Elephas maximus indicus: one gene and its partners. The main gene of each other region encodes a partner of the protein of the gene in region 2 in a complex. Links are inferred from orthologs where the notes say so. Each region holds a gene or a part of one and is shown on either strand. Other genes may lie near its edges.

Region 1 (7,860 bases), on a different chromosome or scaffold from region 2:
TCGAGGGTTTCATCAATTTTCCCAAGGGCCTCTCTTAATCCTTTGATATTAAAATCATTCTCCTGAAATGTCTACCCAGTCATGATGTCTTCACTTAACTGGCTAACTGGCATTTCCTCACTAGTCAATGGCTCTATTTGTGATTCAAATAGTTATCGAAATTCAAGTTTATGCATTTCATAAAAGCCTGTATGTTTTGCAAGGTTTGTAATTTTTCCCAACAATTAAAGAACAGCATTTGATGTTGTCTCCTAATATGAAACATCAAGAAAACTGACTCACAAAGAAATTATCTAAAAGAATAGATGCTAGTATTAAGCAGAAGAAATACCTGAGTAGCAACTAATTGTTTAAGTAATCAGCTCATTAGGGAAGATTTCCATGCTAGATGACTTACTATGCTCAGATACACACCCATTCATATTACAATTTTCTAATATAGCATCCTCTGAATTGTGGAAGGGACTGGATTCCCAATTCCAAAGGTTCAAATGAGTAATATTTTGCTGATATTCAATGCTTGCTACTCTAACACCCAGATCCTTGAATTTCAACTCAGTGAACTGTTCAAAGACTGGAGTTCCTTAGAGCCTGGTTGTGGAACCCTCTCTCTTCTATATTAGCTCTCCTTTAGTGATCACATCCATCCCCATGCCTTAAAATATAAGGTATTGAGTCTCAAATATGTATTTTCAGCCCGTATCTTTCCGCTGGTCTCCGATTGCCTATGTGACATCTCCCCTTGTATGTTTCAATACACATCTCAAATTTTAGCAGTATGAAACCAAACTCTTGTTCCTAAATTTCCATTCCCCACCTCTATCCCTAAAAAACGTCTACTTTTCTCTCATGTTTTCCCCAACTCAATAATGGACACTACCATCTACCCAGCTGCTCAAACCAGAAACCTAGGCATTTCTCCTTTTTCTCATATACCTCCAAACCAATCTATGAGCATGTCATTGAGTTCCATCACCAAAATACTTATCGACTAGACCTACTTCCATTCATCCTCGCTAAGCCAAGCCATCATCTCTTTTGGTCTACTGTAATCTCCTAAATCGTTTTTTTACTACCCTTGCCTCCCACTGTTAACTCTTTCTTCCTAGAACAGCCTATTACATTTTTTAACAAGATCAGATTCCTCCTCTACCTGTTCAATAGCTTCAGAAACCCATTGCTGTCGAGTCAATTCCAACTCATAGCGACCCTACGGAAAGAAAAGAACTGCCCCATGGAGTTTCGAATGAGCTCCTGATGGATTTGAACTGCCGACCTTTTGGTTAGCAGCCTTAGCTCTTAACCACTACACCACTAGGGTTTCCAATAGCTTCACAGTGCACTTAAAATTCAAATCTTTATCATTGCCTTTAAGGTCCTACACCATCTGACTTCCTCTCCAACTTCATCTTAAGGCTCTTTAAATTTACCTCTTGTTAAGTAGGCTTCAGCCAATTGGCCTTCTCTAAGTTTTCCTAATCTCAGAGCCTTTGTACTTACTTGATGGAAATACTCTTCATTCTGCTTACTTCATGGTTGGATTCTTCTCATCTATCAAATCTCAACTTAAATATTACCTTTCCAACAAAGACCTTCCCTGACCGTCCTCTCTAAAGTTTCCTCCCATTTATCTCTAACACAGTACCTGTTTACTTTCTTCAAAATACCTTCATAATCTGTAAATATTTTAAGTTTTTTTTAGAAAGTCTGTTTACTATTTCCCCCAATAGAATGTAATCAAGGTGATGGCAGGAACTCAGCCTTGTTTTAACATTCCAACCCGAGGCTTAGAAATAAACACACACACACAACACACACAAATATTTCATGATTGAGAACACACATCCCAATTAATACCTAGACCGGAAAATGTATTTTTCCCTACCTGTGACACGATTAACATAACTGCATGGAGCGCTTCCTAACTTCGAGTGCGCTTTATTTTAACATTCACGAACCAATGGAAACAAAAGCCAAAAAAAAAAAAAAAACCCCACACATAAAAAAGTAATGGAGCCAGTCTTACTTGGAGAAAGAGATGAGAACTCCTTGATTTTAAGCTTTCCTTAGGAAATGGTCCGAAATGACGAATAAGGACCACAGCCAAAGCGTGGGGCATGCTTTAGGTTTAGAGGTAGAAGCTGCTCCGAGTATGATTACGAAAACTATATCCGACTCCTTTCTCCAACTCTAGCCCACGAAGGACGAGAGAGACAATAACGACAGGAGCACCCGCCCAAAGCCGACTGAGACGGCAGGAAGTCTCCAACCTACTCTCGCCCAACCACTCCCAGCCGAAGCGGAGAGCGCAGAGAGGCTTCCTCCACTTAAAAATTGGAATCTATCCGCCAGTCCGCAAACGCAGCTCAGAGCACCCGGGATGAGGGGAAAAAAAAAAACCAGCGCTCTCCCCTCCCCCCGAGGCCCGCGCAGCCCGCCGTCCCGAGTCGGAGCCCAGCAGTGCCAGAGGAAAAGCGGCTTTTGCCGGTACTGAGGCTGTAGCTACTGCACCGGAGAGTAGGCCGGGAAGCAGCAGGCCCCGGCCGGGCACGGAGAGAGATCTGTGATATTTCTTTCTCACCACCACACCCCAGTGCTTTGGGGCGAACGTAAGCCCTCTATGCCCGCTAGGCGACTGATCCCAGACCGGCCAAGGGGGCATGGAACCGGGACCCCCACTGCCTCCGCCTCCTTACCAGTGTGATCCATGATTCGGCTCGCAGGGCACAGTGGGAGCGGAAGTCAACTGCACCGGAGTCGCATGGGGCGCGTGCGCGCTATCCCCGGAGTCCGGAAGGCGGAAGTGCAACCAGTCTCCTAGCTTTGGCTTCCAAGGGCTATCTTTTGTCGCCTCCCCAGCATAGTTTGGGCAGAAGGGAGAACGAGCGAGTACGCGAAGAGCTTCAGTGTCGAAGTTGCTAAGGCAGTTCCTCATAGGCCTCAAGAGAAAGTAGCCTTTAACTGTGGAAAGGAGACCCATGGCAACACGGGAGGGGGAGAGCGGTACTAGCCGAAAGAATTCACGGCAGGTAAGGCGGCCTCCCGCCCCCTCGGAGCGTTGCCTTCTGGGACTTGTAGTGCGCAGGACCCCGGAGTCAGCCAGGCCTATTGCGCAGGCTTGGCCGTTGGGCTGGCCCCACCCCGGCGGCGGAGTAACGGTTTAGAAGCCCCGAGGGTCTGGGAACGTCAGTCTCCACCGGTTCTAGGAAAAGCGTAAACATCGGCGCTCCGGAAAGCGTCCTCCCGTGGGAGGTTGCCAGGGGATGGTTGACCTGTTAGAATCCTCTAGCTAGACGAAAAGACTCTGCTTCTTATTGTCGAAATTTTGCTTTGTCGTGGTGAGCTACATAGCCCCAAGTAGAACAGACTTGGTGTATGCCTACGTTCCCACCTCTTAAGTTTCTACCAGTTGAAACATACTTACATCATGCTTTGCTACCACTCATTTTCTGGAGAAAATGCGTGTGGCTCTAGGTTCCCCTACAACCTCTCCGCAGGACTGGCGGACGCCGCGCAGCTACATCTTATTACATGGGACACCTAGCACTAATGTGCAAAGAAGGGGGCCGCAGGAAGGGTACATAGAAATGGAGTGAGGTGAAGAGATCGTTAGGGCCTGGTCGGAAGGGAAAGGTGAAAAAAGAAAGGCCTAAAATGAGGAAGAGAGTTACCACAGTAGGCAGTACCTAGTTCCAGTTCTTGGTCCCAGGGGTTTGTGGTTGCTGCTGCTTTCATCTCCACAGCCAAGAGAAAAGGAAAGTGCCAAAAGGTGATGCCGTAGGACCTTCAGCGCAGTCTCCACCTGGTGGACTTTGCTCATTTGTGTCCACTCCCTTCTCCAAAGCTTTACATTTGATGCTCTCCGATGAGTAGAAGGGAGCACAATTAGTGGAAAACACAAGCTTGGGAGTCAGGGGATTTGGGTTCTATTCTTGTCGTCCCTTGGTGACGACATCATTACCTTGTGTCATTCACGCTTTCAGTGCCAGAGTTCCTAGATCAAGAACAGATTATTGTACTGACCTATTACAGAATTTTCTTCTCGGTATTGAAATCCGAATAAAGTATGTGTAGTAATGTATCCGTATAGTTATGCAGCAATAACTTTGAATAATTCTATGATGATCAGTACTATTTATTAACATCTTTTTGAACACATATCCACTGTGCAGATTTATAAACAAGTTTTTAGGTGCATTCACAACTATGAACATTTGGGAATCAAAATTACCCTTGCTTTTGTTAAAATGAAAGTTCTGTATTACTAAGTGGCTTTAAAGATGCTTGCAGTTGCTGGAACTGTTTTTGTTTGGGTGAGGGAGAGAAGCTTAACCTTTCTCCTGTACTTTGTACCCCTATTTCTCTAAAAACTGCTGATGTGGCTGAGCACTTGTCACCAATTTGGGGTGTGAAGGAAGAGCAGTTTTCATCCAGGAAGTGCTTTTTTTTTTTTTTTTTTTTTGTATCCTCATATTCAGCTTATTAGCTAAATTTCAGATTAATGCAAATCCAGGTTCAGGAAGCCATTGTTGGGCATAGAATGTTTTGGTTAGTCAGATATCCTGATTATTATTAATCTCTGCTGATACTAATATTTGGAGCCCTGGTAGCACAGTGGGTAAGAGCTTGGCTGCTAACCAAAAGGTCAGCAGTTCGAATCCACCAGCTGCTCCTTGGAAACCCTATGGGGCAGTTCTACTCTGTCCTATGGGGACACTAGGAGTTGAAATCAGCTCAACAGCACTGGGTTTTGATACTAAAATTTAAAGATTTAGAATAACATATGATACTTTCAGCCTGCATTTTAGAAATTTTAGTTTGTAAATCAGAAGTTTTGGTGGGATTTTATGGTGCATCAAGTTATGCAAATTAATTTACTGAGGGAAGACTCACTTATTTTAGATTTCCTGTTGATAAAATGTCAGATAAACCTTTATTTTATTATTTGACTTGGATTTGTTACTTTCAAGTATTGCCTCAGTATCTCTGCTCTATACCCATTTTCTTCCTTAACTGTAGTTGCATTGCTTTACCAGTACAGTAGCAGTGTGACAAATTAGTTTAATCTCTTTGCCTAAACTAAATGAAACTGTACAAAGATTTATATTTTATTACTGCCTTCTAGTATTGCTTTTTGGTGACCAGATGCTGCCAACAGTGACAATTTCTTTATTGAAACTTGATATTATATTTACTTAAATAGCATGGTACTGATCCAAGGTTTATAAAAATGAAAAGCTGTAGTAATAGGCAATCTGAAGCACTGAAGTGCATATTGTCATTGTACTGACAGGCGATCTGTTAGCCTGTGAATTACAAGCTAGTATTCTTCAAAGCCAGCATACTCGAAGATGTTTTAATAGCTTTCATTTACATAGAGCAAGATAAGATTTGACAGTTGGCATTAAGCTCAGAGAGTTGTTTTTCCAAAAGCCTGTTTCAGGCTCCTTAGTACTAACCAAAAAACAAACCAAATCAAACCCATTGCCATCGAGTCGATTCCAACTCAGAGTGACCCTATAGGTCAGAGTAGAACTTCCCCACAGGGGAAGATTTTATAATAAATCTTCACAGAAGCGGGCTGCCAAATCTTTCTTCTGCAGAGCAGCAGGTTTGAATGACCAAACTTTCAGTTAGTAGACAAGCGCTTAACCACTGTGCTACCAGGACTCCTACAATACTAACGAGTTGTCACCAAGACAGTTCCAACTCACGGTGCCCTCGTGTGTCAGAATAGAAACCCATAGGTTTTCAGTGGCTGACTTTTCAGAAGTACGACACCAGGCCTTTCTTCAGGTGACTATACATGGACTTGAACCTCCAACCTTTAAATTAGTAGCCAAGTGCATTAACCATTTGCACCACCCAGGGACTCCGCTTAATACAAGGTCAGGATAATAACCATCATCTTAATGTTCTTTCAACTGTATAATACTACTTTATTAAGAGTGCTTCTTGTTGTTGTCAGGTGCTGCCAAGTTGGTTCCGACTCATAGTGACCCTATGTACAACAAAACGAAACGCCGTCCAGTCCTGCAGTATTCTCACATTGTCATTATGCTTGAGCCCACTGTTGCATCCATTGTGTCAGCCCATCTTGACGGGGGCTTGCTGTTTTTCACTGACCCTCTACTTTACCAAGCATGATATCCTTCTCCAGGAACTGAGCCCTCCTGATAACATGTCCAAAGTATGTGAGAAGTAGTCTCAACATCCTTGCTTCTAAGGAGCATTCTGGCTGTATTTCTTCCAAGACAGATTTATTCTTTTGGCAGTCCATGGTATGTGCAATATTCTTCACCTATACCATAATTCAAAGGCATCAATTCTTCTTCAGTCTTCCCTTACTCCTTGTGAGTTTTCACATGCATATGATTGAAAACATCGTGGCTTGCGTCAGGCGCACCTTAGTCTTCAACGTGACATCTTTGCTTTTTAACACTTTAAGGAGATCTTTTGAAGTAGATTTGCCCAATGCGATGCGTCGTTTGATTTCTTCAATGCTGCTTCCATGGACGTTGATTGTGGATCCAAGGAAAACGAAATCCTTAACGGCTCCAGTATTTTCTCCATTTATCATGATGTTGCTTATTGGCCCAGTTGTGAAGAATTTTCTTTTCTTTATATTGAGGTGTAATCCATACTGAAGGTTGTAGTCTTTGATCTAGACCAGTAAGTGCTTCAAGCCCTCTTCACTTTCAGCAAGCAAGGTTGTGTCATCTGCATGTCGCAGATTGTTAATGAGTCTTCCTCCAATCCTGATGCCCTTTTCTTCTTCATATAGTCAAGCTTCTCAGATTATTTGCTCAGCATACAGATTGAATAAGCATGGTGAAAGGATATAGTCCTGATGCACACCTTTCCTAGCTTTAAACCACACAATATCCCCTTGTTCTGTTTGAACGACTGCCTCTTGGTCTATGTACAGGTTCCTCATGAGCACAATTATCTGCTCTGGAATCCCCATTCTTCACAATGTTATACATAATTTGTTATGATCCACACAGTCAAACGCCTTTACACAGTCAATAAAACAGGTAAACATCTTTCCGGTATTCTCTGCTTTCAGCCAGGATCCATCTGATATCAGCAATGATATCACTGGTTCTATGTCCTCTTCTGAATCTGGCTTGAATTTTTGGCAGTTCCCTGTTGATAATACTGCTGCAGCCACCTTTGAATGATCTTCAGCAAAATTTTACTTGTGTGTGATATTAATGATATTGTTCGATAATTTCTTCATTCTATTGGATCACCTTTCTTTGGAATCGGCATAAATGCAGATTCTTCCAGTCAGTTGGCCAGATAGCTGTTTTCCAAATTTTTTGGCATAGACAAATGTGCACTTCCAGCACTGCATCCATTTCTTGAAATATCTCAGTTCGTATTCCATCAATTCCTGGACCCTTGTTTTTCACCAGTGCCTTCAGACCATCTTGGACCTCTTCATTCAGTACCGTTGTTTCCTGATCATATGCTACCTCCTGAAATGACTGAATGTCAATTAATTCTTTTTGGTATAGTGACCGTGTATTATTCCTTCCATCTTCTTTTGGTGCTTCTTGCATCGTTTACTATTATCCCCATAGAATCCTTCAGTATTGCAACTCGAGGCTTGAATTTTTTCTTCTTTTAGCTTGAGAAATGCCAAGTGTGTTCTTCCTTTTTGGTTTTCTAACTCCAGGTCTTTGCACGTGTCATTATAATACTTTGCTTTGTCTTCTCGAGCTGCCCTTTGAAATCTTCTGTTCACCTCTTCAGCGTCATCATTTCTTCCGTTTGGTTTAGCTACTCAGCATTCAACAGCAAGTTTGAGAGTCTCTTCTGACATCCATTTTGGTCTTCTCTTTCTTTCCTTTC
Region 2 (7,362 bases):
GGGACAGGAGAGCTAGACAAATGGAAAATCGAGTCATTCTCTTTTGAGACATAAAAGAGAATCAGACAAAGAGGAGAGGGACCTCATTTCATCAAGGAAAAAAAAAAAAGCCAGGAGAAGACCACGTTCTTTGGACCTGGGGTCCCTGGGCTGAGAAACTCCTAGATCCAAGGGAGGATTGATGGCAAAAGACCTTCCTTCAGAGCCAATTGAGAGAGAAAGTTAAGTTAAGGCTGGCAGTCCAAAGCCACCAGCTGTTCCTTTGGAAAACCTATGGTGCAGTTCTACTCTGTCCTATGGGGTCGCTGTGACTCTGAATTGACTCCACAGCAACAGGCTTGGTTTTGTTGGTTTTATACATTTAGCCCATTGCCATCCATTCGATACTGACTCATAGTGACCCTACAGGACAGAATAGAACTGCCCCATAGGGTTTCCAAGGAGTGGCTGGTAGATTCGAACTACAGGCGTTTTGCTAGCAGACAAGCTCTTAAGCACTGCACCAGCAGGTCTCCTTTATATGTATACATATATAAACATAAAAAAAAATACATATAGGAAAATACATATATATGCATTCATATATGTACACACACATATATACGTGTATATACACACCCCCCAAAAAACCCAAACCCACTGCTGTTGAGTTGATTCTGACTCATAGCAATCTTATAGGACAGAGTAGAACTGCCCCACGAGGTTTCCAAGGAGCACCTAGTGGATTCGAAACGCTGACGTTTTGGTTAGCAGCCATAGTGATTAAGACCTATGCCACCAGGGTTTTCTATACACACATATATGTGTATACATATGGATTCATTGTTAAATGTATATGTGTGCATACACACACACACACACGCACACACACACACACAAAATCTATGTTGTTGTTAGGTGCTGTTGAGTTGGTTCCAACTCATAGCAGCCCTATGTACAACAAAACAAAATACTGCCTGGTCCTGCACCATCCTCACAATTGTTGCTGTGCTTGAGCCCATCATTGCAGCCACTGTGTCAATCCATCTTCTTCAGGGTTTTTCACTTTTTCACTGACCTTGTACTTTACCAAGCATGATGTCCTTCTCCAGGGACCGGTTCTTCCCAGTAACATGTCCAAAGTACATGAGACGAAGTCTCACCATCACTTCTAAGGGAGCATCCTGGCTAAGCTTTTTCCAAGACAGATTTGTTCATTGTTCTGGCAGTCCTTGGTATATTTAGTATTCTTTGCCAACACCATAATTCAAAGGGATTAATTCTTTAGTCTTCCTTATTCATCATCCAACTTTCACATGCATATAAGGCAATTGAAAACACAATGGCTTGGGTGAGGTGCACCTTAGTCCTAAAAGTGATATCTTTGCTTTTTAACACTTTTAAAGAGGTCTTTTGCAGTAAAAAAAAAAAAAAAAAATTTATTACTATTATTATTTTTTGCAGTAGATTTGGCCATATGTCCTTTCATTTCTTGATGGCTATTTCCATGGATGTTGGCTGTGGATCCAAGTATAATGAAATCCTTGACGAATTCAGTCTTTTCCCATGTATCATGATGTTGCTTATTGCTCCAGTTGTGAGCATTTTTATTTTCTTCATGTTGAGGTGTAATCCATACTGAAAGCTGTAGTCTTTGATCTTCATCAGTCAGTGCTTCAAGTCCTCTTCACTTTCAGCAAGTAAGGTTGTGTCATCTGCATAATGCAGGTTTCTAGTCTTCCTCCAATCTAAAATATTCAGCTCACTGGTAATGAAAGAAACAGAAACTAAGAGAATTTGATAATATTTTTCACCCATCAAATTGCCAGAAATTCATAATTCTCATGGATGATGTGGGAGGGGAAGTGAGCCTATTCAGACCAGGCTAGTGGGGGTATAAATTTGTTCAATTCTTTTAAGGCTATTTGAAGATATGCATAATAATTATAAAAAGTGTATATCCTTAGACTAGTAATTGTATTTCTAGAGAAGAATATTGTAAAGAAATAAAGAAGAAATTATGTATGAATAAGGGTATTAATTATAAAACTCTTTGTGGTAATTAATAATTGGAAAAAATCCAAATGCCCTCAAATAAATTAATAATTATTTAAATCAATTATATCCAGTTTTATCATGCAATGTTATGCAATCATTAAAAATAATAATACAGATTTGAACTAATTAATATGTAAAGCTGGTCATGATAGGTTATATTTAGAAATGTTACAAGGCAGCATACATGGTGTGATCCATTTATGTATGGAAAAAAATAAACATGTGAATGTCTGCACTAAAAAATTAAAGATAACGTGCTAAAACATTGATGGTGATTATCATTCCTTAGAAGTTGCTGGGTGGCCCAGCCAGTTTGCAATCACCTACTGCCCTGAAGGTTGGGGGTTGGAACCCATGCAACAGGGTCATGGAAGAAAGTCTTGTGCATTTGCTTCCCTAGAGACTATAGCCAAGAATACGCCGTGAACAGTTCTACTCATGGGGTTGCCATGCTTCAGAATTGACTCCACGGCAATGTGTTTTTTTTTTTTTTCCTTTCTCCTTCTTAGTCGCTCCTTGGTAGGGTTATAAGGAGCCTTGTTGGTGCAGTGCTTAAGCATTAGGCTGCTAAGTGAAAGGTAGGCAATTAGAACCCACCAGCTGCTCTTAGGGTGAAAGATGTGGCAGTCAGCTTCCCTAAAGATTTCAGCTTCGGAAACCCCACGGGGCAATTATACTCTGTCCTTTAGGGTCCTTATGGGTTTGGTTTGGTAATATAATGGGTGATTTTTACTTTCTTCCTTAACCTTTTTTCCCCTTCAATCTCCATTTCCTACAAGTAACATAGGTTACTTAATAATCGAACACAAGTAAAGCTTTTTCCAGTTTTAGGAAAACAAATTTTGTTAACTAACTTAAAATATGTTTTTAAAAAGCAATTTCTTCTTGTAGATTTAGCTCCTGGAGGTTCAGATGACTGGATTTATGACTTGGGCACCAAATACTCGTTTACAATTGAACTTCGAGATAAAGGCGAATTTGGATTCTTGCTGCCTGAACGTCTCATCAAGCCAACTTGTAAAGAGGCTCTCGCGGCTGTCTCTAAAATAGTCTGGCATGTCATCAGGAATGTTTAATGCCCTTGATTTTATCACTCTGCTCCCATATTTTAATTTATTGATTCCAGCAAGACCAAATAATTGTCCCAGCTTCTTTTTAAGTTTTATCAACAGTTTTGTAACGAGATTTTCCCATTTCTTGGCTTTGTCAAAGAATAAAATAAATGCCACCTTGCAAATAAGACAAGAGTTCACATTTCTTTTCACTTTTTTTTTTTTTTTTTAAATTGTAAGGGGCTAGGTGTTGTTGTTGTTGTTAGGTGCCATTGAGTCGCTTCCAACTCACAGCTATCCTGTGCACAACAGAACGAAGCACTGCCCTGTCCTAAGCCATCCTTACAATCATTGTTATGCTTGAGCTCATTGTTGCAGCCACTGTGTCAATCAACCTTGTTGAGGGTCTTCCTCTTTTCCTCTGACCCTGTACTTTGCCAAGCATGATGGCCTTCTACAGGGACTGATCCCTCCTGACAACACGTCCAAAGTGTGTAAGACGCAGTCTCGCTATCTTTGCCTCTAAGGAGCATTCTGGCTGCACTTCTTCCAAGACAGATTTGGTATATTCAATATTCTTCGCCCACACCACAATTCAAAGGTACTGATTTTAATTTTTTTTTTTTTACTTTGATTCAGGATGTTTCACTAACCAAACAATTTTAATAAATTGTATCATACAAATCATTGGTTAAAGCTTTGAGACCCTAAGCAACAAAAGGAAAGACCGTCGGGAGTATATGAAAGATTTTTGTTTCACATTTTCAGTAAACTTGTTTGCGCCTTTAAAAACATAACCCTGCATTCCGTTTGCTCCACAATAATAGGCGATGGGCTACAAAGGAGACGGGTTCAAAAATAGGACATTCGCCAGGTCTGGTCCAGCTCAGAGTCTCAATAAGCATTCTTGAACAAATGAATGGCTGTAGTTACTTTCAATACACGTAGCATTTTGCACACCTAAAATAGTTGTTTATTGTAAGAAATTATGTAATGAACGGGGAAATTCTCTTAAGTTCACTTTTAATTGGGAATCAAAAAAGTCCCCCGCGAGTCCAAGTTTCCTTCCACAAAGAACATATTCAGGAGTTGATCTCTCGCTAATACTCTCGCTCCTCAGCGTCGACGCAACGTACGAGGAAAGGGGCGGGGTCTGCGCTCTGACGACTAACCTGGCGGCCGGAAGCTGGCTCGTTTACAGAGGAACAGGACGGTCTCCTGACTTCCGGCGGCTTTTTGAGTCGATCGCCCTAGCGGCCTGGTAGTTTTTTTTTGGAGTTTTTTTTACTGTCCATTTTCTCTTCCTTCTTTTTCTTCCCACGCCCCGTTCTCGCCGGACCCTGGCGAAGCGGCAGGCGGGTTCTGTTTCTCAGTCTCCCCGGGGCCCCGTGAGCCTCCGAGGAGCGGTTTCCGGGAGCCGCGCGCGCACCTCCTCCTTGTGGTCCTCCCGGGGCCAAGGCGCGGGGCGGAAGGTCTCCTTCCCCGCTCCTGCGAGCAGCGGCAGTGTGGGTGCCTCGGGTCTGCGTTTGCGAGGAGAGCTGGGGGTGGAGGTAAGGGTTCTGTGACTTCGTGTGGGTATTTGAGGAAAGGCGTTGGGCGAGCTGGGGAGGCCCGGAGTCGCCCACCATGCCCACTTGGGTCACACTGGTATTTCGTGCTCCCCTTGAGCATCCTGCCCCTGAATCTTCAGTCACTCCCTGTGCTCAGGCCTCGTTTGTCTCCCTCGCTCTGATTGTGGCGAGTCTGTCTAGGGGACAGGTCGACTCAGGCAAAAGACTGTGACTGACATTTGAGGTGGGCACGGGAACCCTTGAGCAGAATTCGCGTTTGTATGCAATGGAGGGGTGCCGGAATAAGGTCTTAGATTTCGGAGTTTTTTCTTTGGGCATTCCAGACCTGTAATCGGTAAAGGGATCTTTTGGTTATTTTTGGTGTTCTGTATTTACTGGCAGTGATAAACCGAGTTAGGGCCTGGGAGTTGAGGAGTGCTAGTCTTGGCAGTTATATGCGGGGGAAACAAATTGAAAGAGAGGTAGAATGAAAGGACGGGACCTTATGTTTAGCATTACCTCTTTCTAAATACAAACGCAAACAAACCTGTTACCTTTGAGTCGATTCCGACTCATAGGGACCCTGTATGACAGAGTAGAACTCCCCCATAGGGTTTCCAGGGAGGGGCTGGTGGATTGGAACTGCCGACCTTTCGCTTAGCAGCCGAACGCTTAACCACTGCGCCACCAGTGCCCCGCTCTTTTTAAATAGGTTAATATAATTTAAATGGCTGACAAATTCGGAGTTGCTATTACTTGAATGATGTTGGTAGGATTTTGCGTGTGGAAGGTAGTGTGTTAATCTATTCGGTTATATTAGAAGGTTTCCAGGTAATTTGAACTACTTTGAAAATTATGGGCTAGAGTCTCTTAAGGTTTTTGCATTTGTAAAGAGGGAATTTAGAAAGTTTGGAAGAGGTCTTCACGCCTCGCGTTTTCAGAGTTCGTGATACTGTTGCGGCAAATCCCGATGCTTATGCAGCGCCATCCCTGTGTGCATGGTGCCAGTTAGCATGGTCCAGTTTCTGGGTGTTTTTAGTTCTGTAATACTTGATGTCATGGGCTTTACTGTCCAAACAATAATGTTTTGGAGAGCTATTGATTTTGAAGTTATTAATGAAATACTTAGATTATAATAGATGACAGTTTCAGAGAGATAGTAAGAAGATTGATGGAGGTATATGTCAGTTTGTGTGTGTAAAAATAGTTGCATCATGAAACTAAAAATTTCACTGTGTCCGTCTGGTAGGATACAGTTTTATGAAGTCTATGCCTCTGACAGGGTCGCTGTGAGTCCGAATCGACTCCATGACAAGTGGTTTGGTTTTACTGAAGTCCTAGTTATTGGTAATTCTAATTGCACATTGTACATTTTAGGATGTGTGCACATCTTATTTTCATATCTGTAGTACAGATTAAAAATATTAAGAGACAGCAAGTGGATGCTATGTTAACTTTTTTATACCAAATTATTAAAATTTTAATGAATCATCTGTATTAGTTTATATTATAATATGCATTGGTGTTTACATAGGGAAAGCAAAATTGTTTAACTTCCATTTGGAGAATTGGTTTTCAGTGGACGTTAGTCTTTCCCGTATTCCCCACTCGCAACCCACAGCTCATACAGAGTTGGAGGCATTTTAGCAGGTACTTTGTAGTGGCTGAGGTATTAACTGGTGTTCATGTAACCCTGTCTTCTCTTCTCCTCTTGTAGCTCTGTGTGTTGCGGTTCTGTTTACGTCACTTCATAGTGGTTCCCAGGATGGGGTGTTCTTTGTGCACACACAATCTTTTTAACAAGTTATTTTCTGCACAGTGCTGCAGTATTGCCTTGCTCATACCTGTGTAGTCAGCTTAGTTGTGCCAGTTCTGTTGCACGATCAGTTAAGAATAGATTTACTCTGTCTACAGGTAAGCAACCTGGAAGGGTGTTTGAGAAAGTTCTTTTTAATAAATTCTTCAAAAGTATGCATCAAATAAACAGCTATTTTTTCTTTTAAAACATGAAGTATGAATGTGGGGAAAGTTTTATTTTTTAATATAACCCTTTAAATCTTAGAAATTCAATGGGTAGGGATTTATTCTACTAATTAATACATTTATATAGTTTTAGTTATGTAATTATTTGACAGTTTCCTGGTATTACGCTGCTGCTGTATAAGTAATAGAAGATCATCCAGATTAAAAAGAGTTATGCTTTCATTTACACTACAGAAGATGAGACCTCAGAAGGATCCAGTGAAGATACTAGAACTGATACATATTTTACTGACAAGATTTTAGCCATTAGGCTTCAGGTTTAATTAATTATTCAGAGAAGAGGACCCTGTATTTTTCAACTTTTTCAGCCATATTTATAGTGTGCAGCTTTGAATAGATTGTGATAATGTAATTTCCCATTTATTAAGACTCCCTTTTCCTGTGCCTTCAGGAGATTCAAGCTTTATTTCCAGTTATTCTTTTTCTTTTTAAATTTAAAAGTGATAAGGAAAATTTCAGATATTTATATATCTGCAAGGAAAAATAGAAAAATGACTAAATGGACTTTCACCAGTCTTATTCTGGCTCTTACAGTGCTGCTGTTTGGGAAAGAAATGATGATGTGATAGTGTAAGGGTAACTTAAACAAAAGAACAACGGGCAGAGCAATTTATTTGAAAACAAAAATGGAGAACAACATTAAAGAAGAGTTAACTAAATTAGTAAATTTTTGTTGTAAC
Region 3 (7,948 bases), on a different chromosome or scaffold from region 2:
TGAGATGATAAAATTATCATTTTCCATAAATGTCTAGGAAGAACGAGACTGGAAATGGGAGGTCAATTAGGATATGGATAGGGTTACAGATCATCCACAGGTGTGTGGTTGTAGAATGAAGGGGTGGGCAGTGAGAGCCAGGAGCAGAGCTACAGCTATACAGCAGATATGGAAACTGAAAGGTGGAATGCTTCTTTATTTTGGAAAATGGATGGATATTGATGCTAGTCTCTGAAACAGGAGGAAACGCTCGAATTGATTTTTTTTTAGAGAGGTTGGTGGTGGATTATGGATTATGAATATAAGTTTTATCCATGTTAAGTTTAAAATTCTGGAGAACATCCTAGGAAGCTGTGTAATAGGTAATCTGATATATAGGTTTGGGGTAGTTATTCTCAAGGAACGCTTGTGGGAAAACGAATTGTTATATGAAGCTCTTAATTACTTCCTTAAATTAGTACCTAGAAGTGAAACTGCCTCCTCAAAAAGTATGAATTATATGTGCTGTTTTTCCAACTTTCTTCTCACTCCTACCTTACTTCCCCTCCACCCCACACGCACACTCCCTAGTGGCCCTTATGTTACCATGATGAGCAGATGCTATTGATAGCCATGTACAGTACTCTTCAAGTGTGCTGATGTGGAAAAATAAAAAAGTTTAGAGCCATTAGTCTGGCATTTTAAAATTCAGAGGATGTGAAACAAATCTCAGAGTTACATCCTCATCCTCAGGAAAACGGTTAGAGTGCCTGTCCCATCACTGCTGGATTCTGGTGGCTTTGTAAATACTATGTAATAGTACACATTTACATCTTTATCAGCCCAGGGTCCAGTCAGGAAAACAGAAGTCATTTAAAGTATTTGAAACAGACAACATTTACTATGGAGAATTGGTTACACAGGTGTTGAAGGCTAGACAGTTCCTGGGTGGTACAAATGGTTAATGGACTCACTGCTAACTGAAAGGTTGGTGGTTCAAGTCCATCCAGAGGCTTTAGAAGAAAGGCATTGCAATCTACTTCTGAAAAAACAGCCATACTAATCCCTGTGGAGCACAGCTCTCCTCTAACACACATGAGGTTGTCCTGAGTCAGAATCATTCCACTGCAACTGGTTTGGTTTGTTTTTGAAGGCTAAAAAAACAAAAAGGGGAAGGTGAGATTAAACCATACATTTTTGACTGCAAGAAGTGGCTACTAGTGCTAAAACTGGTGAAACAGAGGGAAGGGGTGATATTATCAGAGCCCAAGAGCACACTCACTACTGGGGGTATAAAAAACCCCAAAACAAAACCAAAGGTTACCATTGAGTTGATTCAGGAAAGACAGGACAGCCAAGGAGGAGAAGTAGCAACTGGTTCTGCAACTCTGTAAGAAGTGACAGCCACTTCCAGGGATGCCAGAAGCAGGAAAAGAAGTGAAGAACAATAGCTTCTCCCCACCTTCCATCTTCTTATCTCCATCTGTGCTTCCTCTTGGCAGAATTTTATTGGAAGTCATCTGACAAAGAAGTCTGAAAAATGTAGTTTGTAGATTCCTAGCCCACCATCATCAGAAAGCAGAATTTGACTTACTTGGTCTTCAGTCTTTGACTCTAATACCTATCAAAGTACCTGCCATGTAAAATGTCAATAAACATCAAATAAGTATTTTAGTGAAAATTCCTATTCCCATCATTGATAAATAGCTGAAATCAGTACCCAACTTAAATGACTGGCATGCAAAGTAGTACAATGGAATTTTAAAGAAACATACTTTAAGTCATAGATACAAATTTAAAAAAAAATCCAAACCCACCACCGCTGAGGGGATTCCTACTCATTATGACCCTATAGGACAGAGCAGAACTGTTCCATACAGTTTCCAAGGTTGTAAATTTTTACCAAAGCAGACTGCCGCATCTTTCTCTTGCAGAGCAGTGAGTGCTTAACCACTGCACCACCAGGGCTCCTACACACATATTATCTTTTATAGAATAGTTCCCATTACTCAAGGAATTTTTAGAGCTCCGCTTTTGAAATTTCCTTTTAAAGCTAATTTTTTAAAAAACACATGAAATGCGTGATAAATTACTAGAATCTAATATTGCCCACTTTGGGCCTAGCCTGACTCACCTGGTTTTGATCTGGAAGATTTATCATTATTTGAAAAAACTAAATCCACTCTCAAAGAATAAACTTTGTTATTTATTTTGGCAAGTACTTGCCACAAGTTCCAATTAAACTTGAGGCAACAGGATGCCTAAACCACCTTGGCCACTTGAGTTTGGAACAAAATGACAAACGTGGTGAATAACAATGTTAAAGTTTTTAGTAAGACTTTGGTCTTTGCTGCCTTCCTAAGAGAGAAGAATCACCTCCCCTCCCCACCAGGGTATTTATTTCCATATCCCAGGGTTATTTTCTGCTAAGATAAATGCAAGGCAGAAAAAGGGGTCTTATCTAGGACACAAACCAAGGCACACTGTACAATCGCCAACCCCTCTTTTCTAAAGGGAAGAATCCATAAAGTGCATTATGGTAACAACAGGCAATATCTCAAGAGCTAGTGAAACTTGCCCTCGAACGTCGAGCAGCTAAAGCAAAAGGAAGAATTGATGAAGTAAAAGAATGAACAGAAGATTTCAAAGGGCGGCTCGAGAAGACAAAGTGTTATACTGACATGTGCAAAGAGCTGGAGATGGAAAACCAAAAGGGAAGAACACGCTCGGCGTTTCTCAAGTTGAAAGAACTGAAATAAAAATTCAAGCCTCGAGTTGCAATAGTGAAGGATTCTGTGGGGAAAATATTAAACAACGCAGGGAGCATCAACAGAAGATGGAAGGAATACACAGAGTCATTATACCAAAAAGAATTAGTCGATGTTCAACCATTTCAAGAGGTGGTATATGATCAGGAACCGAAGGTACTGAAGGAAGAAGTCCAAGCTGCTCTGAAGGCATTGGCAAAAAACAAGGCTCCAGGAATTGAAGGAATATCAATTGAGATGTTTCAACAAATAGATGCAGTGCTGGAGGTGCTCACTCGTCTATGCCAAGAAATATGGAAGACAGCTTCCTGGCCAACTGACTGGAAGAGATCCAAATTTATGCCTATTCCCAAGAAAGGTGATCCAACCGAATGTGGAAATTATAGAACAATATCATTAATATCCCATGCAAGCAAAATTTTGATAAAGATCATTCAAAAATGGCTACAGCAGTATATCGACAGGAAACTGCCAGAAATTCAGGCCGGTTTCAGAACAGGATGTGGAACCAGGGATATCATTGCTGATGTCAGATGGATCCTGGCTGAAAGCAGAGAATACCAGAAGATGTTTACCTGTGTTTTCTTGACTATGCAAAGGCATTAGACTGTGTGGATCATAACAAACTATGGATAACATTGCAAAGAATGGGAATTCCAGAACACTTAATTGTGCTCATGAGGAACCTTTACATAGATCAAGAGGCTGTTGTTTGTACAGAAGAAGGGGATACTGATTGGTTTACAGTCAGGAAAGGTGTGCATCAGGGTTGTATTCTTTCACCATACCTATTCAATCTGTATGCTGAGCAAATAATCCGAGAAGTCGGACTATATGAAGAACAGGGCATCAGGATAGGAGAAAGACTCATTAACAACCTGCGTTATGCAGCGGACACAACCTTGCTTGCTGAAAGTGAAGAGGACTTGAAGCACTTACTAATGAAGATCAAAGACCACAGCCTTCAGTTTGGATTGCACGTCAACATGAAGAAAACAAAAACCCTCACAACTGGAACAATGAACAACATCATAATAAACAGAGAAAAGACTGAAGTTGTCAAGGATTTCATTTTACTTGGATCCACAATCAACAGGCATGGAAGCAGCAGTCAAGGAATCAAAAGACGCATTGCATTGGGCAAATCTGCTGCAAAGGACCTCTTTAAACTGTTGAAAAGCAAAGATGTCACCTTGAAGACTAAGGTGCACCTGACCCAAGCCATGGTATTTTCAATCGCATCATATGCATGTGAAAGCTGTACAATGAATAAAGAAGACCGAAGAAGAATTCACACCTTCGAATTGTGGTGTTGGCGAAGAATATTGAATATACCGTGGACTCCCAAAAGAATGAACAAATCTGTCTTGGAAGAAGTGTGGCCAGAATGCTCCTCAGAGGCAAGGAGGGCGAGACTGCCTCTTACATACTTCGGACATGTTGTCAGGAGGGATCAGTCCCTGGAGAAGCACATCATGCTTCGCAGAGTACAGGGTCAGCGGAAAAGGGGAAGACCCTCAACGAGGTGGATTGACACAGTGGCTGCAACAATGAGCTCGAGCATAACAACAATTGTCAGGATGGCACAGGACTGGGCAGTGTTTCGTTCCGTTGCGCATAAGGTCGCTATGAGTCGGAACCGACTCGACGGCACCTAACAACAGTGAGGTGTGCAGAGCACTGACAGAAGGGAAAAGTAAAAAACAACAACCTTAATAATAATAAACACTTCTATAGCGCTCTGCGCCTCCTTACTATTTATACAAACTGTTCATTATTTCAGTCTTCACAACGACTCCATGAGGCTGGCACTCTTATTTACTCCCATTTTACAAACGAAAAAAACAGATTTACGGAGGTGACTAACCAGCCAAGGTCACCCAGCTAGTAATAGGAAAAGGTTCAAGGCAATATGGCCGGAGTCTGCTCTCTCAGTAAAAAAGCAGATACTACATGTAACAAGTTTTAAAAGTAACTGGGGAACTAACGGAAAAGAGAAGCAACAAAAGAGCTCACATCGGAAGAGGCGTGGATATATCAAGAGAGACACCAGAGACGGGACCTGACATCGCTGCTCACAGCGCCTATCAGGCTTCCGAGACCCCTCCCCCAGTGCCCCGTCCCTCATTGGGCCCCTTCCAAGTAGCGTCAAATTGTAGGCGGGACTTCCGGGTACAACGGAGCCAATTCCGGCCGAGCCGGAAAGCCCTTTGAAGAAAAGGCTAGGGGTTACCCGCCCGCCTGAAGTCCCTGGCGAATTTTGTGTTCCATAGACTTGGAAGAAAGATTGGGCGGGGGTTAATCTACGCATTGGCAAGTTTTCAGGGTAGTGGAAAACAGGAGTTGGGATATGGACAGCCGCTTGCAGGAGATCCGGGAGCGGCAGAAGCTACGGCGACAGCTCCTCGCGCAGCAGGTCCGCGCCCGGGGTGGCCAATGCGGGGAGGGTTCGCGAATGCGCGTGCGCGGCCGCCCTCTCCCCCTCCCCTGCCCTTCGTCCTGTCAGCGCTCACCTTGTCCGATCATTCCTGATCCGGAGACCCTGACCCTTGGATCTCCCCTTGTTCTCTCAACCCCTGCTGTGCCCCGAATTTTTTTCCCATTCCAGCCGCTGTGTGTGTAGTAATGTTAAACTAGACGCCACGATTGATCTTCAGCAACATCTATCGAATGCCTTCCAAGCTTCTGGCACTGTGCTTGATAGTGGGGATATAAAGCTTTGGTTTTTGTAAATAAGTTATCACAGTTGATGCAATGAAAAGTGACTTATTCCTTAAATATCGCTTTGCTAATTTTTTTTAAGTGCTCTTCTTTGTCTTGTTTTTTTCTCGGAATCAACACCTAAATCCTGAGATTGTGGCTTCATTGTGAAATGGGTGTATTTTGGGACGGGGGTATCTACTTTAAAGACTACATTGAAAGGAGCCTAAGTGTAAACATTAGATTCTACATTTTGTGTATTGCAGGCCACTGAGCAACGTATACTAGCGTCATCATCACCCATAAAAAAATAGTATTTAAATTTTTACTCTCTGTCAGTCAAAACAGCCCAATGAAATAGGTAGTATTATTCTCTTCACTTATCAGAGAACAGAACAGAGGCTCCAGAGGTCAAGTAATTTTGCCCCGACTCACTCATAGCTGGGCCAAGAATTTGAAACCAGGTTTGTCTCTCCAAAGCTTACCTTCTAAACCACTCTCCTTCACTGCTTCTTGTGTGTGAGTACATTAGTACATAAGACCATACTAATCTTGCTGATGAGTAGAGTATACCAAAAACCAAACCTTTTGCTATCGAGTCGATTACGACTCATAATGACCCTGCAGAAAATACAGATGGTGCTACCTTTATGTAAAATCAGAGGGTTTGTTTTCCATTCTGCTGTTCAGATTAGTAAAAGTGATGGGTAAAATGAGGTGTCTTGCTGTTATTTTTCAATAGTAAATTTTGGTTTTAGCTACAAGAAGTCTGAAACCTGTCTTTTAAAAGCTGATGAAAAGACATATGATATGGTATTTAACATGTTATTTGGAATCAGATCTAGTCCTGTCCTGTACCATCCTGAACAAATGAGGCATCCTTTCTAAGCCTTCTTTTTCCCTACTTTTTTAATCATAATTGTCTGCAAAATGTTCAGTAGATCTTTGTTGCCACCAGTAGTTTTTACTCCTCAGTTTTGAATTCAAATCTCTAGAAGATTTGGCTCAAAATACATTCATAGAACAATTTGTTAGTGCTTTAACTATGTTCCAGGAGCTCTAGTAGGCCTTCGCAATTCAACTATGAATAATAGTCCCTACCCACAAAGAACTTACATAGTACTACAGTTTTATAATGGCAGCTGTATTAAATCCCCTCCAGCTATGTGTCAGACTCTCTGCTAAGCTGTGTACTTATATGTCTTCAATCCTACAAGTCAGATGTTATCTGAATTTTATAGATGAAGAAAATAGAGCCCCCCCCCCCCAAAAAAAATTGTTACTTGCCCAAGGCCCCAAAGCTGGTAAATGTGAGAGCTGGGATTTTAATTTAGGCCTTGCCAGGCTCTTTCCAGTACACCTAGCTGCCTCCACTATAATCAGTGACAAACTTCCACTTTACCAACAAATTGCAGAGCGTCTTTTGCCTAGTTTTCTCTGTATGAACAAGATAGATTGCTTTTATTATTCTCCAGAACTTGATTTGTGCACTATATGCTTTTTTATGCTTTAGTATTATTATTTTTAAAGTCTTTTTCTTACCTGCCTTCTGAATTCTATCCATCCTCCATGGCCCAGTTAGGTTAGAATTTGGTGTTGGAACCTATTCTGATCTCCCTGGCTTAGGCTCTTCTTCCTTTGAGCTTTCATTGTACCTCACTGTCGAGTCCACTACTACATATTGTGTGAATTGTCCTGTTTTTGTTGTTAGTTGTCATTGAGTTGATTCCGACTCATGGTGACTTCATGTATGCAGAGTAGAACTCCATAGGGTTTTCAAGGTTGTGACCTTTTGGAAGCAGATCGCCAAGCCTGTCTTATGAGGTGCCTCTAGGTGGGTTCTAAACACCAACCTTTTGGTTAGTAGTCGAGCACTTAACCGTTTGCACTTGTGGATTGTCACATAGACTATAATAGTTTGAGTACAAAGTCTGTATGTAACTCCTGTTGAGTAACCTCTTCCCACCCAGGATTGTTTCTTTCACAAAGCAAGATTTTAATAAACATTTGTTGAGTGATGAAATATCAGACTAGAGCACAACATGTGTATGATTTGCTTGATTCACTTTTGTCTGCTTAGTGAAGCCTTTAGAGGCAAAAAGTAGGCCTGGACCATGATAATAACAACTGATGCTACCACCACCAATTTGTGCCTTTTGTTTATTTAACTTCAAACAGCATACGTGGTCCTGAGAAGTAACTCTGTTTCCAAAAATTAAATATGCCTTAGGAAGTTATCAAATTGTTAGAATTCCTCAGATAAATCTATTCAGTGCCACCAACATAATGGAAAATCTGTTATTGACTTGGTTAAGTGATACAGCTGCTAACCAAAAGGTTGGCAGTTCACATCCACCAGGCGCTCCTTGGAAACCCTATGGGGCAGTTCTGCTCTGTCCTGTAGGGTTGCTATGGGTCGAATTCAACTCAACGGCAGTGGGATTTTTTTTATTAACTTGATGTGGGCACTCTACAATTTTTTTTTTTAAATGTTTCATGAA

Evidence for each region. Proteins that work in one complex are often made in the same cells at the same time.
Region 1: ZC3H13 (region 2) and CBLL1 share a complex: the UniProt entries of both Homo sapiens proteins name them as parts of the WMM complex. The link is inferred for Elephas maximus indicus from reciprocal best matches to the Homo sapiens genes ZC3H13 and CBLL1.
Region 3: ZC3H13 (region 2) and METTL14 share a complex: the UniProt entries of both Homo sapiens proteins name them as parts of the WMM complex. The link is inferred for Elephas maximus indicus from reciprocal best matches to the Homo sapiens genes ZC3H13 and METTL14.

The regions. Positions count from the first base shown.
Region 1 is NC_064826.1:41,895,220-41,903,079, forward strand, and holds the start of CBLL1 (E3 ubiquitin-protein ligase Hakai), read right to left. Parts: upstream 3,020-7,860; 5' UTR 2,710-3,019; coding exon 2,697-2,709; intron 2,687-2,696; exon of another isoform or gene 2,027-2,686; intron 1-2,026. UniProt on the Homo sapiens protein: E3 ubiquitin-protein ligase that mediates ubiquitination of several tyrosine-phosphorylated Src substrates, including CDH1, CTTN and DOK1. Targets CDH1 for endocytosis and degradation.
Region 2 is NC_064832.1:33,686,106-33,693,467, forward strand, and holds the start of ZC3H13 (zinc finger CCCH domain-containing protein 13), read left to right. Parts: upstream 1-4,274; 5' UTR 4,275-4,350; exon of another isoform or gene 4,351-4,639; intron 4,640-7,362. Other genes in the region: carboxypeptidase B2-like, read left to right, coding at 2,929-3,113. UniProt on the Homo sapiens protein: Associated component of the WMM complex, a complex that mediates N6-methyladenosine (m6A) methylation of RNAs, a modification that plays a role in the efficiency of mRNA splicing and RNA processing.
Region 3 is NC_064823.1:30,926,366-30,934,313, reverse strand, and holds the start of METTL14 (N6-adenosine-methyltransferase non-catalytic subunit), read left to right. Parts: upstream 1-4,929; 5' UTR 4,930-5,097; coding exon 5,098-5,163; intron 5,164-7,948. UniProt on the Homo sapiens protein: The METTL3-METTL14 heterodimer forms a N6-methyltransferase complex that methylates adenosine residues at the N(6) position of some mRNAs and regulates the circadian clock, differentiation of embryonic stem cells and cortical neurogenesis.